4 linked regions of the Arabidopsis thaliana genome follow. The protein of the gene in region 2 interacts with the protein of the main gene of each other region in a pairwise test. Each region holds a gene or a part of one and is shown on either strand. Other genes may lie near its edges. The genes, in order: AT1G51650, WOL, AT2G45820 and ALMT1.

Region 1 (4,249 bases), on a different chromosome or scaffold from region 2:
TCGGACGGTGAATCACTTTGTATACCGTTCCACCTGCTCCGCTTCCGATACGGTTACCTCTCACTAAATCCGAATAGTTCTTCGCTTCTATGGAGCTGTTAGTGTTCGTTGAAGACGCCGAACCACCAGAAGACGGCGCAGATCCACTAGAGCCACCGGAACCACCGGAAGTAGGTGGGAGAGGAAGAGGTACAGCGAGAGAAACATCGCGTTGAGGAAGCGGTAAGGTAAGATCAGGACGGCGACGGGGACGGCTTTTCACCGGAACGGAAACTCCTGGAGGCGATTGAATCGGTCTCATCGCTTTTGGAATCAAAAGTTCGATTTTCTTCTACGATCTGAAAATTTAAAAGCTCGATTGAAGATTGAAGTAATGATCTTCGTCGTTTATAGTAGTAGTCTTCTTCGACTTCTTCGTCGTCGTGCGTTGTCGTATTCTAGGGTTTGTTTGTGGCAGGCTTAAATTGATTCGTTCTTCGAAGCGATCAAAATCAAAAGAAATTGAGAAATGAAGTTTCGTCGAAAGAAATTGAAAGGACACTGAAAAGGGAACGTTAATTTTTATTTTGAGAAAATTAATTAAAAGGAAATAAATAGCAAAATTGTTAAAATCGAGAAAAAGGTATCTACGCGATGTGTAAAGCGCGTGAGGATCACTTTCAAGCACGGAAACCATTTGTGACTTTGTGTGGTTGGTTCACTGGGCACTTCTGGCTCTGTTAAGTTTTTTTCAGACTTTACGCGGTGTCGTTTTGTTGGTTTTGTGATATAAACCAAGAAGAGGAAATCGAATTTAAATCAAACAAACGCGTAAAAGTGACATTGGAGATGGTCTAACCTGCAAATATGCGTACTGCGATTCAAAATACATGATTCAGAAAATCAGTTTGTATATTCTCATGTTTAATATTAAGTATGGTCTTCTCTCAACTTCTGACAGTGTATTGATTCTCCACGTATGTGCTTAGTTTTATGCTATTCTCACTGTTCTGTAACAATCAAAAGAACTTGTCTTTAGCCAGAAGAGTCTTTAAAGGCTTTTTTTCATTGTTCGCATACAAAAAGTGAAACAGAATAGCAAAAGAAGAAAAGAGATACACAAGACTCAGTGTGTCATTATTATGATCGGAAATGAGTTTTTCACTCAAGCTCCATTGTTGACAATAAAAAGAAAACAAATCTTGGTAACTCAGTTACTTTTGAATCCCTTAAGAACATAAGCTCAAAGTTGACTTCAAACTTCAGGTGTGTCTGACCGCAAAACTGTCAAGGAAAAACAAAAACATGAGAGAATGTTAGACAAATGGATCAACAAGAAGAAAGCTGAACCATTTTCAGATAGACTAAATCTGGAATCATTGTCTCAGTAAACCCTATTTGAGAAATGAAATCATTCCAAATTCAACAATTTGAACATAACAACAACTTATGAGAAAACAAAATAGAATGAAATTAATCAAATCCAGAAGCAGAAGAGAGACAGATTAAGCGCAAAATCGATGGAGCTTGTTAAAATGATTCATCTTCCTCTTAAATTCAATAGCTTTCCCAAAATGACCTACTCTGATATCTACGTATTCCAACAATTTCAATGACACACAACAAGAACATGAAGAATTCAGATCCAAACATAAACGAGAAAAGACATCTAAATGCAATGTTCCCAATCAGCTTTCCATCTTCTTCATGTTCTTGTTTCACACATACTACTAGTTTTGTTGTTTTCTCTGAAGCTAACTCTAAATGAAAAATTCAACAATTTGGACATAACAACATTGTATGAAGATAGTATTGAACTGATCAAATCCAGAAGCAGAGGAAAGGTTAAATGCAAAATCGAAGATCAAATCCAGAAGCAGATGATTCACTTTCCACTTAATTCCGATAACTTTTAGGAAATCAGATTATTCCAACAAATTACTCAAAAACAAATCAGGAATCGAGAACACAAGAACGTGAAGAATCCAGATCTAAGATCCAACATCGACGATTAAAGGATCGAAAAGGCTTACCAGGTTTCTGGGGCTTTCCATCAGCCCATTTGGAGAGAGAGAAGTGAACCTTCTCGCGAGTAAGAGCTTCAGCTTTGTGTGGCTCCTTGAGACAGTTCCTCACGATATTCGCACAGATGTTTGAATACGATATATATGTCATCCCCGCCGCTCTCCAGAACGGAACCGCCGCATTCGATGCCATCTCCGATCTTCTTCCTTGTCTTCCTTCTTCGTCCGTTCCGATTCTAAGGAGAAAGTTCGCGAAATGGGACAGAGACCGATTCTGTGCCCTAGTAATCCTAACACAGTTTAGACCCAATGGGCCTTATTAAATATTTTAACGGCCCATTAAGTAGCTAACTACACGAATCTTCTATCCAACTTTCATCTACTGAAATCTCTCAACTTTTTTTTTTTTTTTGGTTTCTTGTCTTTTTTATTTGTTTTTATGATTGTTTCTTGGAGTTTACGCGAAGACTGAGCCAAACCAAGCTTTGCTATTTTAATACCTTGATTAGGCAATTAGAAATTTAAGCGAAGTTACATAAAAATAGGAAAACAAACAAACTTATTTCCAGGAGTCTCCACGAAATTTACTCAAAACTTATTCTCATTTTCAGGTAGATTGAATTTCGTGTATATGTCTGCATAATTTCGTGTAAATGTCTGCTTTTCTTTGTTTTGTTTCGTTTTGTAGTTTTTCAAAAGTTAATATTAAATGTGCAACAGAGAGAAGACACCAATCTCATTGACTTGTCAGAAACAAAGAAGAGAGAAACAGTTTAGTTTCAGATAAAGATGGTTGAGCTGACTAACAAATAAAACAAGACTTTGGGTTTTGCTTTAAGTTAATGATTATATGTGATCTTGTTTTGGTTTATAGAAGTCTTTAGAAGAAGAACACTGGTAATTACTTATTTTGGTGGGTTTGGTAAGAAATTTGGTTTATCTTCCGAGGATAAAGGATTGTTATCAAATCCATATATAGTTGTTGAAGCAACAATCATATCCTCCTCCACTGAGTAAGCAGCAAAACAATGGCTGAATCAAAGAGACTTGAGAGGCTTAAAGCAATGAGAAGTTTATTGAAGAGTGAGATGGAGAAATCTGAAACCTTTTCATTGGTTCTTAACAAGACTGGATCCAAGATTGAAGAGATCAACCATAAGTTGTCGTCTTTAGAAGCTGATCTTAAAGTTGAGAGATGGAAGGCTTCTCCTTTCTCTGATCATATCCGTCACACCATTGCTCCAATATCCGCTGTCCTGAGAGTCTTTGCTACGGTTCAAGAGCTTGAGAGATCTCTCGTGTCCTCTGATGGAGTCCTTGGTTATGTTTCGGATGTTAAACGTCTTGGAGAAGCGATGAAGCTTCTCTCCAGTAGCTGTGTTCTTGCTCTTAACTGGCTAGAAGATACGATCGAGTACCTAACCGAAAAGGGAATGCCTGAAGATCATCCTTGCGGTTTGCGGTTCAAGACTTCCATAGAGCTTCTCCGGGAATTGCAAATGACCGAGTCTCGTGCTTATCTCAAAGGAGGTATTCTTTACACAGCGCTGAAGAATCTTGAAACAGAATTCAAGCGGATTCTCCAAGAGAAGCCGGTTTTCTCAGAAGACAACTTGAGAAAGTTGCAGGCTATCATCAAGAGATTACATGCTCACACGCGGTTAACAAGCTGCGTACCAGTTTACATCAAAGTCCGCACCAAGGTCATTCAGAAACGGTTTGAGATTAGTTATCTGGAGAAAACAATCACAGAAGCTGATAATGTACATGATATTGAAGGCGATATAGATCAATGGAGATTGCATATGGAGATAGCTGTGAAAGAGATATACGAGTTTGAGAGTAAGCTCTGCTATGACGTATTTGAAGATATTGGAGAAGATGTTCCCTTGCGTTGCTTTGGAGAAATAGCTTCAAATTCAGTGATCCTTCAGCTTCTCAGATTTGGATCAAGAATCAGCAAATGCAAGAGAGAGCCACCAAAGCTGATCAAGCTCTTAGATTGTTTCTCTACAATGGACAACTTTCGGATAGAGTTTAACAGGCTATTTCGAGGGGAACAATGTTCAGAGATACGCAGAGTTACACGGGAGCTAATCAGCAATCTCGTTAAGGGTGTCTCCGAGATCTTCTGGGAGTTACCTTGTCAGGTAGAGCTACAGAGACCAAATTGCCCACCTCTTGATGGAGGTGTCCCAAAGCTTGTAAGCGTTGTGACTGAGTACTGCAACAAGCTACTGGGGAAC
Region 2 (8,425 bases):
CAACAACTAGTCCACTTTGCTGTTCGTTACGGTCACACATCAACCACATTTATTTCACTTACTTCTTTTTTCAATCATTTCTTAAATTCTCAATAATTCTAAAAATCAGATATTTGTCCAAACCTCTTTGGTGTAGTGGCACAAGGAAACTTTAACTCCTATACCTGAGTTTGATTTTTCATGAAAACAATAACAAATTTGTTTAGAAAGTCTCTCAGTTGTGATTTGGTCCAATTAATTTATTTGGTAGTTAGAAATGCAGACGGTATGATTATCCTTGGTATTAGTCGGAAGGCATTTCAAATTAGAACCTAACAGTGTGGTGATCCAATTCTACCTAAATCGGGAGAAATTCATTCTGTAGTATTTCGTTGCGTTCCTACTGAAACTGATAAAATAAGTCGATAGAGTATATAAAAAACAAACAAAAAGTCAGATATTTTCTATATACTCTTCTTGGACAAGTTCCTAATTCTTCTCATCCTTTATAGATTACATCGAGAGATCCGATTAAAGGGTTGTTGATTGGCTTTGGTTATCTCACTCGGTTTAGTGAGATCGACGAACCAATAGTAAAACGCAGTCGTTTTTAAGCTTTGCTCTGTTTCTGTTGTTTGAAAGCTCAAGTCGTCGACTGAGCTATAGCTAATGAAGAGTTGTTTGAGCTCTTTCTCTGATCTTCGTTCAACTAGCTAACCGATTTGGTTGCTAAACAAGCTCAAAAGATGAATCAAAATGGTCTCGTCTCAAGTTATAAGAAGATGTTATATATGGAAAAGTTATTATTAGAACATTACAATGTTTAAACGACTAACCAAATCTGATACAGTACAAACGATCCCGTGGGATTAATACTTACGCTAAGATCAACACTGAACCGTCGTCTTAGACGTTGTCGTTTAACAACATACACTAGTCATGGCAAGCTACATTACTTCGGTGAAAGAAAAAAAAACCTTCAAAATCTCTAGATTGTGAACCTACTGTATGTACAGAAACCAAAATGCATATCAATCAGCAGAATCGGTCCACTCTTCCGGCTGCGGAGAGAGAAAAAAAACTCGCCGGAAGATTGGATTACGACGAAGGTGAGATAGGATTAGGTTTGAATGATTTGGCAACGGATTTATAGAGATTCTCTTCTTCAAAAGGTTTGGAGACGTAACCATCCATCCCACTTTTCAGACATTCCTCGTAGGTCGCGTGTATCACATCCGCAGTCATCGCTAGAATCGGTAAATGCCATTCGAGATTTGTCTTCTCTTTAGTTTCCTTCTCCATCATTCTTATCTGACGAGTTGCTTCAAATCTGAGAATCAATGAAGTTTATAAAAGATTTTAACCGAATCCGAACCAAACCAAGTCAGTTATAATTTGGCGGGAAATTTTTCATACCGAACAATTCAAAAACCGAATAATCCAAAAATAGTATTAGTTGTGATTTAGTTACCCGTCCATCTGTGGCATTTGAATATCCATGAAGCAAGCATCGAAAGTGTGTGGAATCTGAAGCAAACCCAAAGCAACTTGACCACTCTCTGCACAAACCACTTCTGCTCCAAATTTCTTGAGAGCTCCTGCAGCTACTCTCCTGTTAACTATATTATCATCAACCACAAGAATCTTCTTCCCTGTAAGCAAGCTCTTGAGAGTTGCGGGTGATGATCCTTCTGGATGTTGTTGTCTTGTTTTTCTCAGCTCGAGAACTTGTTGCAGACACGCCCCAATCATGCTTGCTCTTAACGGTTTCATTATTACCGTATCTGCAAATCCTGCGGATTTAGCTCTGTCGAACTCCGAATTTGTGATGTTTGTTGCGAATAGAGCTAGTTTCGGAGACTTGTGATGAACGTTTCCGTTGGTTCTTGAATTCAATAAACGAATCTCTGAGTCATTATCTTCAGTTGAAATCCATGAATCTTTCTCTACTAAGATCATATCAAGTTGCGGTTTTGTTGGGAGAGGAGAACCGTTTCTTTCAAACGCAGCAGCTGCAACAACAGCGGTTTTGAGACTTGTCACGACATCAACATTGATTCCGAGTCTTTTCATATGGTATCTAGTCACAGCAGCTCTAACAGGCTTAGCATCAACAACTATAGCTTTCATTCCTTTAAAAGTAGAAGGCAAGTGTTCCACATTAGGTTTCTTCATATGGTTAATCGCACTGCATTTATCGCATTTCTCTAAAACAGCCGTGAACCAGAACGTGCTTCCAATATGAGGCCGGCTTATGAAATTTATCTGACCACGCATAAGTTCAACAAGACACTTGCTTATACTCAAACCAATACCAGTACCTCCATAGTTTCTTGAAGTCGAGCTATCTGCTTGCATAAACGGCATAAACACACGGCCTTGCGCAACTAAAGGGATTCCAATACCCGTGTCTTCGATTGAAACCATAAGCCTAACATTGCTAGAAATATCAAACTCCGATAATGACTGCTCCTCAGAGACCAAATGCTTGAATGAATCCCAGCTATTCCGACCATCAGCAGCTTCGTAACCGCTCAATGTGTTGTAACTTGACTGTTTGGAAACAACGATCATTTCTTCAGACACTCCACCATTCAATGCATTTTTCGGTTCAGATTCATCTTTTGATTGTTCCGCAAGATGGACTTTAACAAAGATATGTCCTTTCTCTGTGAACTGTCAAAAAGACAACATCTTGATCAAACAAAAATCATATACACAAGCTGCCAACAAAGGCAGAGATTGAAATAGGGACTAACTTTAACCGAATTTCCAACAAGGTTTATGATTATCTGTCTAAATCTCCCTGAATCTCCTTTGACTATCTCTGGTACTTTGTCTGAAACGAAAACCGCGAGCTGCCAAATTTGAAATCAAGAAATTAGCAGCCACAACTCCAAATAGATGTATCTTTATTCCTTGGATTGAAAACTTACCTCAATGCTTTTGTTCCTTGACTCCTCAGAGAATAGAGAAAGGACATCATCCAATATTGAACGGATATCAAATGGTACTGATTCCAACTCCAGCTTTCCAGCTTCAATCTTGGCGCGATCAAGAACCTCATTTATCAATGCAATCAAAGCTTTACCACATACTTGAGCGGTTTGAGCGTAATCTCTCTGTGTCGAGCTTAGTTCTGTATCTAGGAGCATAGCAAGCATTCCTGCAGAAAATTTTTAAAACAGAATCTTTGAGGCAGTTTGAGAAACCAAAGATGAAAGGCAACAGTACTGGAATTTGTTTGAAGATGTAGTACCGAGAATGCCATTCATTGGTGTCCTGATCTCGTGAGACACGGTAGCAAGAAACTGCGATTTAGCGACATCAGCAGCTTCTGCTCGAACTTTAAGCTCTTGCATTTCATGGAAATCATCTTCGACTTTTACTATGTGCATAGCTGCACCATACAGTATATAACCCACCAAGAAACCAATCGCAAAGAACAATGGCACAGTTGTGAGCACATTCAACGGTATTGGTGCCTTTTGGTGGTACCTGCACTCGAAATTGTTCAAACAAGATATCAGTTTTTAGATATCAGAGAGTATTTTAGCTTTAAGATTTTCTGTGTGGTACCTGCATATCATCTTATGTTTCCTGAAGGGGTCTCCAAAATCGAGCTTGCTCTCATGAGAGAGAGATCTGTCGGCTTCTTCATCTTGATTACCATACATGACAAGTGGATCTGATGCATTGGTGATATCATACACATGCACAACTATTGCTTGGTTACCAGCAAGCTGACCAAGTAAATTCTCGACTAGAGACTCCACATCAAACGCACCACCAAGGTACCTGCATTTCAAATTCAAGCATCAATCTTTACTTTACACACAAACCAATCTTGAAATCTCAAAAAACCTCTTTCCTTTACATGATCACACACATAAACCAATCATGAAATCTCGAAAATCTCTTTTTACATGATCACAAGCAAAAGTTTGCTCCAGTAATCAGATGGGAACTTTACCCTGCAGTGGCTGCAATACGCTCTTCGACAGTCGGATTTTCAGGAAGAGAAGACTTGTAGACAGGGAATGTCAACACAACTCCGAGATGGTGAGTTTCCAACAACCTAAAAGGGCTAGTCAAGACAGCTTTTCCGGTTTCTCTAGCTCGCAAAATATTCTCACGATCCTCCTGCAGAAAAGATAGCCAAAATTCAGAAGAGGTGCAGGTCGGATACTTAACCGAAAAAACAAAACCATAAGTGTCTGATAATGTTTATATTACCTCGCCTGACATCATATCGAGTGACTCAAGGTAAGAGACACTATCTTGAGAGAATATAACAGGAGCATACTCATCCCTAACCGGTGAAGGCTCTCCTCTATCCATTGTCTTTATAACCCAATTGTGCTGCCGCTCAAACATCTCCCTCTCAAAATTCACAACTTTTTCAGCATAAGCCACTCCACTTAGCAACGGTCTCTCAAATGCTGTTCTTGCCGTGTACTCCGCAAATGTCTCCTGCAAAATTAGCCACAAACCAATGAGTAAAGCAAAGGCCTAAATTTCCCTTCATTTACTCAATAACCAAACATAAAAGAGTAAATTTCAAAAACTTCTGGTTCCAAAAAAAGTCAACTTTGCATTTATGAATCAAAAATTTCACCAAAGCTTTGAGCTTTTAATAAAGCACACACTGACCTGATCAATTGCAGAAGGGTTCTTGTGGTAATGAAAAGTGGAGACGAGAATAGCCAAAGCATGAACATGATTAACACTAACACTAAATTGATCCTGCAACATTCTAGCTCTTTGATCACACATGCTGACCAAAACCTCTTCCCTTCTAATCTTATTAGCATCATCCATCCACTGATAAATCCCACTGCTTATAAACCCAACAATGATGATCCACAGAATCAAAGCTTTTGGTAACAATGCTCGATGTTCTTGTATGAAAGTTGACCCTTTTTTATTACCCATTAGATCGTTATTATTATTATTGTTCATCTTCACCGCCACTGAATGCTGAAGCTGTTGCTGCTGCTGCATCTTCGCAAAACCCATCAACCCCGAACGCCAAAAATCGATCTTTCTCGGCTTTTCTGACGAATTCAGAGCACCACCACCACCCAGTTGATAAAAATCGCTGCTTTTCAAGTTTTCTAGTGACTCGGAATCAGAAATTTCAATTCTTCGTGGCTCTTCTTCTTCTTCTTGATGATTGTTGAGTGCCCAGTTCATATCTGAGCTACAACAATAGAGAACAAAAGAAGAAACAATAGTGAAAGAAAACAAAAGTTAGAGCCTTTTTTGCATACATATAACATAAAAGCATTGGTAGTGTAGTTATGATTAAGAATGTTACCATAAACATAGTTTATAGTACAGAAACAAACCCTAGAAACCTGTAGACGAAAAAGGACATGTTTTTGCGAATTCAAGAACAAAAGAGAGAAAGAAACGCATGGTTCTCAAAAGAAGCAACTTTGCTCAGTTTCCAAAGGTTTCTTACAGAGAAGAATTAAAAACTAAGTAATTATTGTCAGAGAAATTAATTAATACTAAAAAACACACTAATCAATCATAAGCTCTTTACAGGCGTGATTGTTTATTATTGGAACAAGAACATAGCTATGTTCACTGTCTCAAATCCAACAATAGAAAAAAAATTAAAGCTTTGACCAAAGAAAGAAAGAACACAGAGAGAAACATAACATTAGGAAGAACGACTAATAAGCAAGCACATGGAGAAATTATTTTAGTTACCTGTAATGAGTTGTGAGAGGATTGAACATTGCATTATTATTATACACAAAATCTCTTCTCATCACTTCAAATGTAGGTATTCCATTTTCTTTCTTCTTTCTTCTTCTTTTGTTTTAGTGAGATTTTTTGCTTTTAAAAGTAAGAAAAAAATTGAATCGAATTTTTTAGATTTTCTTCAGATACGTTTCTCTCTCTCTGTGTCTCTGTCTATATCAGTTTTTTGCCATGAACTTTCTTTTCATTTTTATATCTCTCTAGCTCTTTTTTCTTTTTCTAACTTGAGTCCAACTTTGAAGAAGAAAAGTTTTGGACTTTTTCTTAATGGCTCATGATATGATCCATCCAACAAAAGTTATTATTTTACCCAAAATCTCCTCAAAGTTAACATTATTATACGAAATAGATATATTTTCTCTAACCGAATTGTCGGTATTTACTGTGTATTTAGAGAAATTGCAAAGCGACAATGAAGAATTCACAAACTTCTCTTTATCTATAATTTTTTATAATGCTAATATAAAAGCGTATAATTTGGCGCGGAAGATCCGCACCGAACCGCATCATATCACATTTGTAAATAATATCCCTCAGGATTGGTTTACTTGAGCTTTAATAATTTTGGATGACAAAAAAAAAAATATAATTATTGTGACACTAACTAGGTTTGTCTTACTAATTAAAACATCTTTAAAACTACATTTATTCAATTTCATTACATTTCTTATACATCATTTAACATTTAAAGTAACATTTACCATGTTTAAATTTCTTGAATAAGTGAAGTAATATATAGTCACCAACTTCTCAAAATTTATTATCTATTTTTTCCTTGGTATAAATAAGTTTTCTGAACTTTAGAAATAAAACGTTTTGTTTTGTTTTTTTACTTACACCAAAAGGAAAATAAAACGTTTTTTTGTTGAAATATAAGAAAACAAAAAATATAGGTGAGTGAGAGACTTTGTACGAGAGTCGCTATCGCATATCTTTGGCGATAATGACATCGCGACAAAGCGCAGATCTGGCCCCATAGACCTTTTACCTGAAATACCCACCATTCTAGTCTCTTAACTACGAAAATACCCCGGTTAAATGGGCCTGACTCATAAGCCCATGATTTATCCACGTGTAATTCTTAAGACAATTGCATGAGTTGATTCAGGAGATTTTAGAATTCAAAATTTATGAATAACAATCAAATTATTTATTTACTACTAGTATTATACGGTAAACTATTTTTTATATTATTTAGAGTGTTTCTTTTTTTTGTAATAGCAAATTGTTATGACCTAACCACAAATTTAAAATGCTCATGAATTTCTAAAAACGTTAAAAACAAAAAATCATTAAATTATTACATGTTTGAGGCAATAGTAAATCAATCCCATTAAATTAGTACCATATTAAATGATAACATAGTTATGAGTTTTATAATGAAAAATACAGAAAAAAACATAGAGCTATTATTAAAGATACATGAAAATATTATTATTACCTTATATGTGTAGATGGAAACTGACGTGGGTTGTGTAGCTTTCTCTCGTGCGCTTAGAGACAGTAGCTTCTATAACTACATGATATTTGAGAGAAGTTTTTGAATATTCAAATGGATTTTAGGAACACTTGTATGGTTCCTTTGAAATATGCAGAATTAGAACTTAAAGCAAGATTGATAAACATAGAGAAGATACGTGTTTGGGATACCTTAATTTCATGGCTTGATCAGAAGCTTTCAGTCATAGATGAATGCAGTGTAGTTTCTTTTTCCGCTATTGATTCTTTGATCGCTGCACATGTCACAGAATTTTAGTAATGATTTTTGTTACAGATTTCTATATATGTTTATAACAGAGGCCAGTGAAACTCACATTGTGCTCTTCCGAGAAAGAAAAAACAAACAATGAATCTGGAATAAAGTGAAATTAACCTAAGAAAAATAGAAGACAATAAACTTGGATCGAATACCATTTTTTCTATACAATTTCATATCGATGGATCTGGGAATGATTTTTTTTTTTTTTTGGAGGAAGCAAGAGCAAGAGATAGATTTAACGTGAATTGGATTTTTGTAGAGGAAGATAAAACGGTTTGGAAAATCTTGAGTTGGTTACAAATTTCCAAAGATAATGATGGTGTGGTGTGTGAGAAAATCTAGGAATATTTTTTTGTTTTTAAATATGTAGAAAAAAAAAATGAGCGTTTTTTTTTTAAAAAATTTTAAATAATTCTTTAAATTATAAACAAATCTTATGTGGCATAATTTTATTGGGCAAGGGACTTGTACTTTATATTATAAAGGAAAAAGAATTTATTTTATTTTCTTTTTTGTTCTTTTATTTTATTTTTTAATATATATATATATTAAAATTTAACTCAAATGGGTTTGGGTTAGACCTTAGAGAAACATAAATGGTTAAAACCTAACGAAAATAATTGAAAACAAAAATACAATGTGTGAATCCCTATACATTATTAGTCAATGCATTGAAAAAAATTGTTTGAAAATTGACAAAATGGGTCGATGGAAATATCAAATATCCTTTTTTTGTTATGTATGGTTAATTTAGGGAAATGTCTTATAAAAAAGGTGATCCGTTTGGCATTGACCATTGTTTCCTCTTTTTCTTATACTTCATTCTCTTTGATATCTATATTTCTACTACCTAGGATGGACATTCTTTTGTATGATATGGAGTCGAACCAATCTCATTTTACTTTTAGTTTC
Region 3 (4,450 bases), about 18 Mb from region 2:
TCTTCGTGGATCCAACGGAAGTAAGAAGGACACGTGGATATTCTTGAATGGCTGCTTCTGGGTTTGTCGTTGTTTCTCGAGGAGCCATTTTGGGGAAATAATTGAGTTTGGTTCTGAACGACGCCGCATTGGTTAGGGAATCTTTGGCTTGTGATTGGTGATTTTCTGATACTAGTTGTTACCTGCTTCAGACCTGTAAAAGTTGTCTGAAGTACAGAGAGATATGAATTTATTAACTCTTCAAGTTCAAGATTCACTTGATTGAATAAAAAGTTTCTAAAAAAGAAGTTACTTCAGATTCGAACTCACGAAATCGAAACAACCCAATAAGTCTAAGAGACCAGCAGATATGAAGAGAGAGGTGACGAGGAACAGAGTAGCTTTAGCGATGCTTTTTGCTGGATGCGACGCCGTTTTAAGATAGACATACTTATTCTTGTTCGTTAGAAGATTGTTGTTGTTCCTCTTCATGCTTTTCCGTTGAAGCATGAATCTATATCTATCTCAGCTTTATATATATCTATGTTCACAAACATTCAACAGGAAGAGAAGAAAAACGAGAATCAGGTGAGATTAAACGTTACCGAAGCTAGGAGGAAGCTCAAAGGTTTGATTCTGGTGATCGATTGGTGCTCTTCCACGAGGATTTGAATCTTGTTTCACGTTATCTTCAACACTAACCAGAGTTCACATCTTTTGTGTTAATGACGTTCATATTTTTGTGTGAATCTTGTTTACTTTTTAGTTTTTCGAAGAGTTAAAATGTTTTTAAATATTAAATAGATAATATTTTATTAATTAGTAGGAGACATTTGGTCATCCATATTTGGTATTCCTATGCTCAAATCACATATGGACATTGATATGTGATACACAAATGTTTCCCAAATAATCGTCTCTTATTAACGTTGTATTTATTGGTAAATAACTAAATACAAGACCTTTGATGTTCTTAGAAAAATAATCTGCTTACTACAAAAATAAAACTGCAAGAGTTCAATTAATTAAAGTCCTCTTTGGGAAAGTTTGTTATAAGTGCTTTAAACTGAATAAAAGAATCCGAACTTCGAAGAAAGAAGAAAGAAGATAAACCTTAACCCATTAAATAAAGGTCAGTGACATCATAGTCCATATTCGACCACTCATCATCATACAAGACAGATAATTAATCGTAAATAATTCCATGTTGTAGAGTACTTTTTATTATTATACAAATACATTAATACATCTTTCACAGGCTGTTCGAAACTGTGAGTCTGTGATTAGTGATTAGCCTTAATTAATTTACTTTATTGCTTTGTTAGAAAAAAAATTACACCTTTCTTTAAATTAAAACAAGTTGGGCAGGAAATTTAAAAACCCGTTGGGCCATTAGGATTCACAAAAGCCCAACACCTACAAAAAGAGATGTCTCCATCTCATAGTCCATATACCACATGCTTAAACCAGTTTAAATTGCATATACCACGCGCCACATAACCGGAAAGTTTTGTACACGCGCGAGACACAGACATTATCCTTTTTGTATCTGTCTTCCAGCGTGTCGAGTCAGTGAGGCTCCACGTCACCCTTTGATCCACTTAAATTTTAAAACTAAAATAATTGTTTAAATGAATTCGAGTGATTGATATTTTATTATAGATTTAATACACACCCGACACTCTGTCAATTCTATAGGCATACGAGCTCACTCCAAATTTAGATTCAGTTTTTTAATACGAACTTTTTAGTTAAGCCAAGATTAGCAATAATATAGATCATTTATTTTCTTGATTGTAGTTTGATTGTTGTTTTTCTCATAATAAAAAAATCCCAGCTAAAATCTGATTTTCAATTTTAAACCAATTTATATGGTAAACAAAATTTTAGTTCGGTATAATTGGAAGAATTAAGTTTTGTTGAATATCAGGAAAAAAGAAGGGGAGGACAAATTTTCTACAGAGGTGACGTGGCATCATTGAACCACTTTACTTGTCGGCAGTGAGGTGTGTTTAATCACGTGTAACGCATCCAATGCGTATGAGAGCTTTACAGCCGCACGATCACATGGGTACAAAAATCAACGGCGAAGCAAAACAAGAGTCTCACACTTATTAAACGCGCGTAGTACGCTCCACCGGTATAAGCTAACGGAGGATATAAAAACTCTTTAACTCATTATTGTCCTAAAATCTCAATTTTATCCATTTTCACGGAAAAAACATAAAATCTGTTCTTCTTCTTCGGCTGAGAGACAATGGCGGAGGAGCAAAAGACGAGTAAGGTTGACGTAGAATCTCCGGCTGTTTTAGCTCCGGCGAAGGAACCGACTCCTGCTCCGGTGGAAGTCGCGGATGAGAAAATTCATAATCCACCTCCCGTCGAGTCCAAAGCTCTTGCCGTTGTAGAAAGTAAGCTTTCTATTTACATACGTGTGTGTTTTATATATGTTAATCTTCTACTTAGGAGGATTCATTCATGTTTACGATGAATTATTATAGTATGTAATTCAGAATTCTTACGTTTGGAACTAAGGTTTCAATTTACAATTAACAAATGGATTTTCTTAAGATGCCTAAGGTTTTTGTGAGTTCTTTTGCATATGACTTGGTCTATACTCTATTTGTTTAGGTGAAATCCATCGCTGTTAGAATTTACAACTTCATCATGGCATTTTCAAGAGAATTATGTTTTTCGAGGATGATATTATTAAAATATGATTAATAGTAAAGCAATGTTCCCTGTAATTAGTGTTATCAAAAAGTGTATGGAATCATGACAAATTAGTTGTGGACAGCTATGAATTAAGGAAAGTGGGTTACTTTCTTAATATTCCTACATTTTTTCCTTCCTTTAAAGTTGCTTAACTCTTGGAAAATAACAATTAAGTACTAACTTTCCAGCAGTTTTTATAATCCTTGAACATTCATTTGTTCATCTTTATTTACTATCTGTAATTCCTTCTGTGTGGAGTTTCGTTTTATAAACTACTATTTTGATGACCTTATTAGCCAATTAGAGCAACAAAATTTAACTTAGTTAAAAGTGAGCTTCTTGCAACAAATATCCATGTGTTATACTTATAAGTGTGCTTCTTGCAGAACCCATCGAGGAGCATACACCTAAGAAAGCTTCATCTGGTTCGGCCGATAGAGGTCAGCTGATAACAACACTTTGTTTCTCATGTCCAGTTTCTTAGTTACTTAGTTCAGTAATTTACTTCAAATGTGTGTTGTGTGTGTTTGGTCAGATGTGATACTTGCCGACTTGGAAAAAGAGAAGAAAACGTCATTCATCAAAGCATGGGAAGAGAGTGAGAAGTCAAAGGCTGAGAACAGGTAAACTTTCATCATCTTCTCACCCAAAGATTACTATTGCTTACAGATCTCTGATGATCTTGAAATGGACAGGGCACAAAAGAAGATCTCTGATGTGCATGCTTGGGAAAATAGCAAGAAAGCAGCCGTAGAAGCTCAACTTAGGAAGATCGAGGAAAAATTAGAGAAGAAAAAAGCGCAGTACGGTGAGAAAATGAAGAACAAAGTAGCTGCAATCCACAAGTTAGCAGAAGAGAAGAGAGCAATGGTTGAAGCTAAAAAAGGAGAAGAGCTTCTCAAAGCTGAAGAAATGGGTGCTAAGTATAGAGCCACTGGTGTAGTACCAAAGGCAACGTGTGGATGTTTCTAAGCCTTTATTGAATTTGTATCTTTGTAACAATTCATCTCTGTTTCTTTCTTCTTCTTTTGTTTTTGTGTGATTCAACAACTCTTTTTAGTTTTTGTTATTTGTTTGGTCGTTTGTGTCTTGTTTACATATTGGGTGATTGTGTGTAAAAGTGAAAGATTAATGGAGTATAATTGTATGAAGCATCAAATCTTGTTTTGCCTTTTGTTTCAGTTGTACGACTTCACATCTGATCTGTAACTCTTAAAATGCTAAGACACTTGACTTGACACACACCAACTATAATCCTTAAACAGTTCAGGCACAGGTGGAGATCTAAAAGCAATAAACAAGCGAATGAAGTTAAAATGTCTTCTTCGGTTTGATCTCACTACTCGGAAATTCCTCTCAAGTCTTCAAGATGAGAGAACATCAAAATGAAAAGGTGAAAAGGTTTCTAAGAACATGAAAATTAGAGATGAGAGAAGACAACTTTAAGGTTCATATCATGCAGCAGAAGAAGTCTTCAATTCAAACCAAATCAAGCCGGTACTGCTTTAAAGGTTTAGACACAATCAACCGCTTCCATCGCCATCAACCACCTATACTGTCTCTTCTTGCCTCAGTACAGTACTCTATGTGTTGCCTTCATCTCTAGAACGAGCTAGTGGCTGCCAAAGCTGAATGATTTGCCTCCTCACTACACCTAAATAACCGCAAACCAAAATCAATGGAAATTTGGTCTATGAGCAATGCAGGTTAGTTCTAATGTCAAGATGCCTAGAGAGGGATTTGTCTCACCGGTTAG
Region 4 (5,734 bases), on a different chromosome or scaffold from region 2:
ATTGCTTCATTTCATTACTGAATCTTAGTCCATAGTTATTGACCTGAAACATTGGTACTTAGCGTAGTATGCACTTTTCGCAGGAGCTGAACGCAAATAGGCCAGCGACGCCAACCCGAGGACGCCCACAAAATTCAAATGACCGAGGAGGTTCTCTGGCTTGGATGTGAGGCAGATAAAGAGGCACTCGTGCACATACATACCGCTCCAAAAAACACTTGTAACATCTGCCTCCTGGTGTTCCTCATGTGTACAGAAAAAGATGAGCCATAGACGAGAAACGATGAGGCTTGAAGATATCAGGGGGTGTGTAAATTAAGATGTTAAAAGGTTAGAGAAGTCAGTTTTGGTGGTGGTTTAGTAGTGATTTGTAGAGTTTATTTGTCCGGGCTTTAGTCCTCTCGTTCATTTTTATTCAGTCTGCTGTTTCTTCTTTTTTTTTATCATGTCATATCTTTCTTTTTTCCTCTTCAATTGTCTCCGTTGTTTTCGTTTGTGGTATAGTTTTTTGGCGAGTGGGTATGAATTCTTAGAATGGTAATGGTTGATTAGGTGGAGGATGGTCTGATGTCGTGGGGGGGGGGGGCTTTTGTGTATTTTAATTTTATTGTCAGTTCATACTTTGTAACATTTGTGTTGATTATATGATACGAAAAATTTTCCTGGCTCCTTTTGGTTGTCTAAGCTAGACCAAAAAAGAAGAGAAAAGAAAGAACTTATGCCCTTGAAAGCGACTTTGAGTTGGTTCATGGATCCTCGGGTGATGGACTCAGTCACTCGATTTGCTTGAGATTCATAAATTTATACATGTGCTTTGTGGCCTTCAAATGAAACACTGGTGATGTCGATATGATGTGATTTGGCATCGATGCTGTCATTGGCTCCAAAAAATCATGTTTTAGCGGTGAGAACAAAAAAAACAAAATTTTTGGAGGATCAGATGGTTGAAGTTAAAACTCGAGGGTATTAGATGGTTAAATTTTAATATTGTTTTGGATATAGGATGGTGATTAAAAAAAAAAAGTTTTGATTAGTGTTGGTGCAGGAATTAGCATCTCCGATAATACCAATTTAAACCAAGGAATAACGTGAATAAAATCGAGAATTCGATTGAACCGGGGTATCCCGGCTAGTCTGTTAATGGGCCTAAGTCATGAGCTCGCCAGAAGATTTAGGTCGACAGTCAAGATCGCCATAGGCGGCTTCTCAGGTCGTGTAAAGGGAAAACTTCCATTTAAGAGAAGAGGATCTCATGAAGAATAGAAGTAATGAAGATTTAGACCTAAGATAATTAGAAGTTTATCATATTTTGGTATGTTGGACCCATTGTATAAATAGGGGGGGGGGGTCAAGCCCTCTAAGAGGATCATGACCAACCTAAGACAAGAGACTACTATTACAGAGCAAACTCTAGCTTTTTATTCAAGCAACTTTGTTCTTCTCCTTTGATTATTCGTGAGCTAAGAGAGAAGTGAATTTGTCTAAATCCCTTAGTACAAATTAATTGTTTGATTAGAGAATCAACAATTAGTTTTGAACCTGATGATGTATTGGTCAAACTTGTAATCATCGCATCTGAGTTTGAGGTCATTTTTTCCAACTGTTGTTATACATATAAAATATCCAAAGAATAAAAGCCTTGTACGATCGGGGTATTGGGGTCCGTACCAACTTGTTGACATTTTTTATGTTTTTGGTGTGTGGCAGACTAGATTGAAACAATAATGACTAAGCAACTCAGTAAGAGTCCTTTTTTTGGACTCAGTAAAAGAGTCCAAGTTTTCTTTGAACAACAAAATTTTGTTGAGGTGTGTATGCACTTGGTTGGGAACAAACAAGTAGATGGCAAAGATCATTCGAACATTGGAGCCCAAGTGTTGAGGGCACTAATCTTGTCGATTACAGAAACGAAATTATTTGGGGAAGCTGCAAGAAAAAGTTTAGTTAAATCTTTTATATTCCTTAATCAAAATGTATCATGCATACACTATATACAATTCACTAAAGTATGATAGTTAAATACCTAATTAATATCATGATCAACTCCTACCGGTTCATCTAACTAATCCAGCTCAGCATAAAAACCCTCACGCGTCGCTCCAATTAAGGGGAGGGCTTAACTAGTGCCCAACTTACTGGGCTAGGTTCGACTCCGTTTTTTTATTACATTTTCCTTTTCCATTTCTTTAAGACTTTAACCCTGAAATCTCGAAGTGCAACGCACCACTAATTTTTTATAAATATTAACATAACATTTCATGAGTCCTAAACAAGAGTCTCTCTTGGTCTTTATAAATACATCGATCCATGTACATAAAAACAACAAGTCATCTTTTCTTTCTATCTGAAAGTAATCAGAGAATCAGAAAACACTTGAGAGAGCTGAGTGACCATCAAAAGGTGTTATGGAGAAAGTGAGAGAGATAGTGAGAGAAGGGATTAGAGTAGGGAATGAAGACCCGAGAAGAATTATTCATGCTTTCAAAGTGGGACTTGCTCTTGTTTTGGTCTCTTCCTTCTATTATTACCAACCTTTCGGTCCTTTCACCGATTACTTCGGTATCAATGCAATGTGGGCTGTCATGACCGTCGTTGTTGTCTTTGAATTCTCCGTAGGTTCGTCATCTAGTTTCTATCATTTGAATATGTCTAGTAGATATATCTAGGGAGAATGCAAGAATTTTTGTTGTAAACTTTTGGCCATAATATTAAATAACTTTGGTTTGATGTGTACTTAGGGGCTACACTTGGGAAAGGACTAAATAGAGGAGTGGCAACATTAGTAGCAGGAGGACTAGGAATTGGAGCTCATCAACTAGCAAGATTGTCGGGTGCAACAGTGGAACCTATTCTTTTGGTCATGTTGGTCTTTGTGCAAGGTAAACCCTTATAACACTCTTTACATTTTCAGATTACCATGCGTTTCCAAGCGTTTGGTCAATCATTGTTTGGCTAAAGACTAGATCAAAGAAGATTGGGCAATGAGTAATTAGTATTGTGATATATGTGCAGCTGCGTTGTCGACGTTCGTAAGGTTTTTCCCATGGGTAAAGACAAAGTTCGATTATGGGATATTGATATTCATATTGACGTTCGCGCTGATATCGTTGTCGGGGTTTAGAGACGAAGAGATAATGGATTTGGCAGAAAGCAGACTATCGACAGTGGTGATTGGAGGAGTCAGTTGCATCCTTATCTCTATCTTTGTCTGTCCTGTTTGGGCTGGACAAGATCTACATTCTCTCCTTGCCTCTAACTTTGACACTCTCTCCCACTTCCTTCAAGGTTTTTTATTTCTTTCTCTTTTTCTTTTCCTCATTATGTCTCTACAAGAACATAAATATATACATATACGAGATAGTGAATGTGAAATTGGCAGATTTTGGGGACGAATATTTTGAAGCGAGAGAGAAGGGGGACTACAAAGTAGTGGAGAAGAGGAAAAAGAATCTTGAGAGATATAAAAGTGTTCTTGACTCCAAAAGCGATGAAGAAGCTTTGGTGGGCTACTCTCTCTCTTTCTTTCCCTACTTGCTTCACAATTATGAAATCATTTGGATTGATTTTGTTTTGATATTTTGCGTTTAGGCTAATTACGCAGAATGGGAACCGCCTCATGGACAATTTAGGTTTAGGCATCCATGGAAACAATATGTTGCCGTTGGTGCATTACTCCGGCAGTGTGCCTACAGGATTGATGCCTTGAATTCATACATCAACTCAGATTTTCAGGTAATCGCTAACTTTTTGTTAGGTGTTTGCATATTTAATTAAAACAAAATTTGAAAATACATAAAAGAAGAAAAACTAATATGCTATTATGCTATAACTATTTTTGATCTAATACAATATATATATCTATATATATATATATATATATATTTACATGTCGCAAATGCAAACACAAAAATAACATCAGGTTGAAATTCTTAGTCTGTTAATTTGTTTATATAGTTTTTTTTTTTAGTGTAAACATGTATAGTAGTATATGTTTCTGGTTAACGTGTTTCTAACCCTTTGTTTATTTCTTATTTTTTCTATTAGATCCCAGTGGACATAAAAAAGAAATTAGAAACACCATTAAGAAGAATGAGCTCGGAATCGGGAAACTCAATGAAAGAAATGTCCATTTCACTAAAACAAATGATAAAATCATCTTCTTCTGATATCCATGTCTCAAACTCACAAGCTGCATGCAAATCTCTTTCTACTTTACTTAAATCAGGCATCTTGAACGATGTTGAGCCTCTTCAAATGATCTCATTGATGACGACTGTCTCCATGCTCATAGATATTGTTAACTTAACCGAAAAGATCTCGGAATCTGTACACGAGCTTGCATCCGCTGCAAGATTTAAGAACAAGATGAGGCCGACCGTGCTATACGAGAAGTCGGATTCCGGAAGCATTGGTCGTGCCATGCCAATAGATTCTCATGAAGATCATCATGTTGTCACAGTTTTACATGACGTTGATAATGATAGATCAAACAATGTTGATGATTCACGTGGAGGGAGTTCACAGGACTCATGTCATCATGTTGCCATAAAGATTGTTGATGATAACTCAAACCATGAAAAACATGAAGATGGTGAAATACATGTACATACATTAAGTAATGGGCATCTTCAGTAAGTAATTCAACTCATTATTTGAGGAGCAGTCTTTTGTACCCGCAAGATTATAGAGACGAGACCATCGGTATATAACATATTCGGGTATTTCATTCAGATTTGAAGTTTGTTACAAATACTATTGTCGCCTTTGATCATTTTTGAACTATTGGTCACACATTTAATAAAGTCTTGGTCTTCGTTTTCCTTTGCGTTACTCTTTTAAAGATTTTTATATCCAACTGATCAAAAAATTTAAAAATAGCATGGTTTTATTTTTGGATTATGGTGTTTTAGAGAGCTAACCTCAGTAAATAAAAGAACATAGACCGGCGCCAGATAAAGACAAGTCCGGCAAAAACTCTAGATTGTTATTTTCTATGAATATAATTAATTTTATTCCAAACATATATCGTATGAAAAAAAAAATCATTTATCATTGGAGGAGGCGGTGATCAGGCGCAGTGAGAGGAGGAGTCGGTTAACAAAAGTGGTCTTGGCCAGTGCCAAAGCGTCATTGTAATCGCTTTCAATTCTCAAAACCAATACGGTAATATGCACAACTAATAGAATGTTTCAGGTGACAAATTTTCTCACTAAAGTCAAACTTTCATACTTGCCGATGAAGTAACAAACATACAGTACGTTCAATACATTAAGGATATATATAAGAAACAAAAGCTGGAAATTGTGTGAATTTAGCTAGGTTAGATTATAGTATAATAAAGTTGCCTTGTACGATTGGGGTAATGGCTAATGGATTCCGTACGTTGATGCCAACTTGGTATTGGCAAGGCTGAGTGTGACTCGGTGCAAAAAGCACCAGCTGCTATCTAATTCCGCGTTCTAACCAATACTACATTTTCATTTATTATTACTTTTTACAATCCATAAATCTCTCTGCTGTGGAGGGTTGATATAAGATCCGAAACTTCTTTGTTGATAAAAAAAAATCTAACAATCTTCCAAGTTCAAATCTCACTCAGGAAATATGAATGACTGAATATTTAATTAGATATTATCGAAATTGTGATTCTTGTTGACAAAAAAAAACAAATCTCATAAGAAGTGGTGATGTCAGTTTTCGTTGAGAGAAAGAGAATTTAAGTGGATATGTTCAA

Evidence for each region.
Region 1: the proteins of WOL (region 2) and AT1G51650 interact in a two-hybrid assay, tested with the Arabidopsis thaliana proteins (one large-scale study listed by BioGRID).
Region 3: the proteins of WOL (region 2) and AT2G45820 interact in a two-hybrid assay, tested with the Arabidopsis thaliana proteins (one large-scale study listed by BioGRID).
Region 4: the proteins of WOL (region 2) and ALMT1 interact in a two-hybrid assay, tested with the Arabidopsis thaliana proteins (one large-scale study listed by BioGRID).

The regions. Positions count from the first base shown.
Region 1 is NC_003070.9:19,150,627-19,154,875, reverse strand, and holds AT1G51650 (ATP synthase epsilon chain), read right to left. Parts: upstream 2,369-4,249; 5' UTR 2,197-2,368; coding exon 2,013-2,196; intron 1,264-2,012; coding exon 1,235-1,263; 3' UTR 825-1,234; downstream 1-824. Other genes in the region: MKK4 (mitogen-activated protein kinase kinase 4), read right to left, coding at 1-301; EXO70G2 (exocyst subunit exo70 family protein G2), read left to right, coding at 3,032-4,249.
Region 2 is NC_003071.7:362,255-370,679, forward strand, and holds WOL (CHASE domain containing histidine kinase protein), read right to left. Parts: upstream 6,104-8,425; 5' UTR 5,763-6,103; coding exon 5,701-5,762; exon of another isoform or gene 5,183-5,700; coding exon 4,633-5,182; intron 4,453-4,632; coding exon 4,216-4,452; intron 4,123-4,215; coding exon 3,953-4,122; intron 3,778-3,952; coding exon 3,559-3,777; intron 3,478-3,558; coding exon 3,239-3,477; intron 3,146-3,238; coding exon 2,916-3,145; intron 2,838-2,915; coding exon 2,739-2,837; intron 2,656-2,738; coding exon 1,451-2,655; intron 1,310-1,450; coding exon 1,078-1,309; 3' UTR 729-1,077; downstream 1-728. UniProt on the Arabidopsis thaliana protein: Cytokinins (CK) receptor related to bacterial two-component regulators. Also binds the synthetic urea-type cytokinin thidiazuron, a potent defoliant and herbicide. Functions as a histidine kinase and transmits the stress signal to a downstream MAPK cascade.
Region 3 is NC_003071.7:18,862,363-18,866,812, reverse strand, and holds AT2G45820 (Remorin family protein), read left to right. Parts: upstream 1-2,071; 5' UTR 2,072-2,236; coding exon 2,237-2,390; intron 2,391-3,080; coding exon 3,081-3,134; intron 3,135-3,229; coding exon 3,230-3,317; intron 3,318-3,389; coding exon 3,390-3,666; 3' UTR 3,667-3,860; downstream 3,861-4,450. Other genes in the region: DTA2 (downstream target of AGL15 2), read right to left, coding at 1-206, 310-489. UniProt on the Arabidopsis thaliana protein: Exhibits a non sequence-specific DNA-binding activity.
Region 4 is NC_003070.9:2,656,395-2,662,128, forward strand, and holds ALMT1 (aluminum-activated malate transporter 1), read left to right. Parts: upstream 1-2,207; 5' UTR 2,208-2,405; coding exon 2,406-2,616; intron 2,617-2,738; coding exon 2,739-2,879; intron 2,880-3,012; coding exon 3,013-3,285; intron 3,286-3,379; coding exon 3,380-3,501; intron 3,502-3,588; coding exon 3,589-3,732; intron 3,733-4,044; coding exon 4,045-4,635; 3' UTR 4,636-4,916; downstream 4,917-5,734. Other genes in the region: BSL2 (BRI1 suppressor 1 (BSU1)-like 2), read left to right, coding at 84-170. UniProt on the Arabidopsis thaliana protein: Malate transporter critical for aluminum tolerance. The STOP1 transcription factor is required for ALMT1 expression.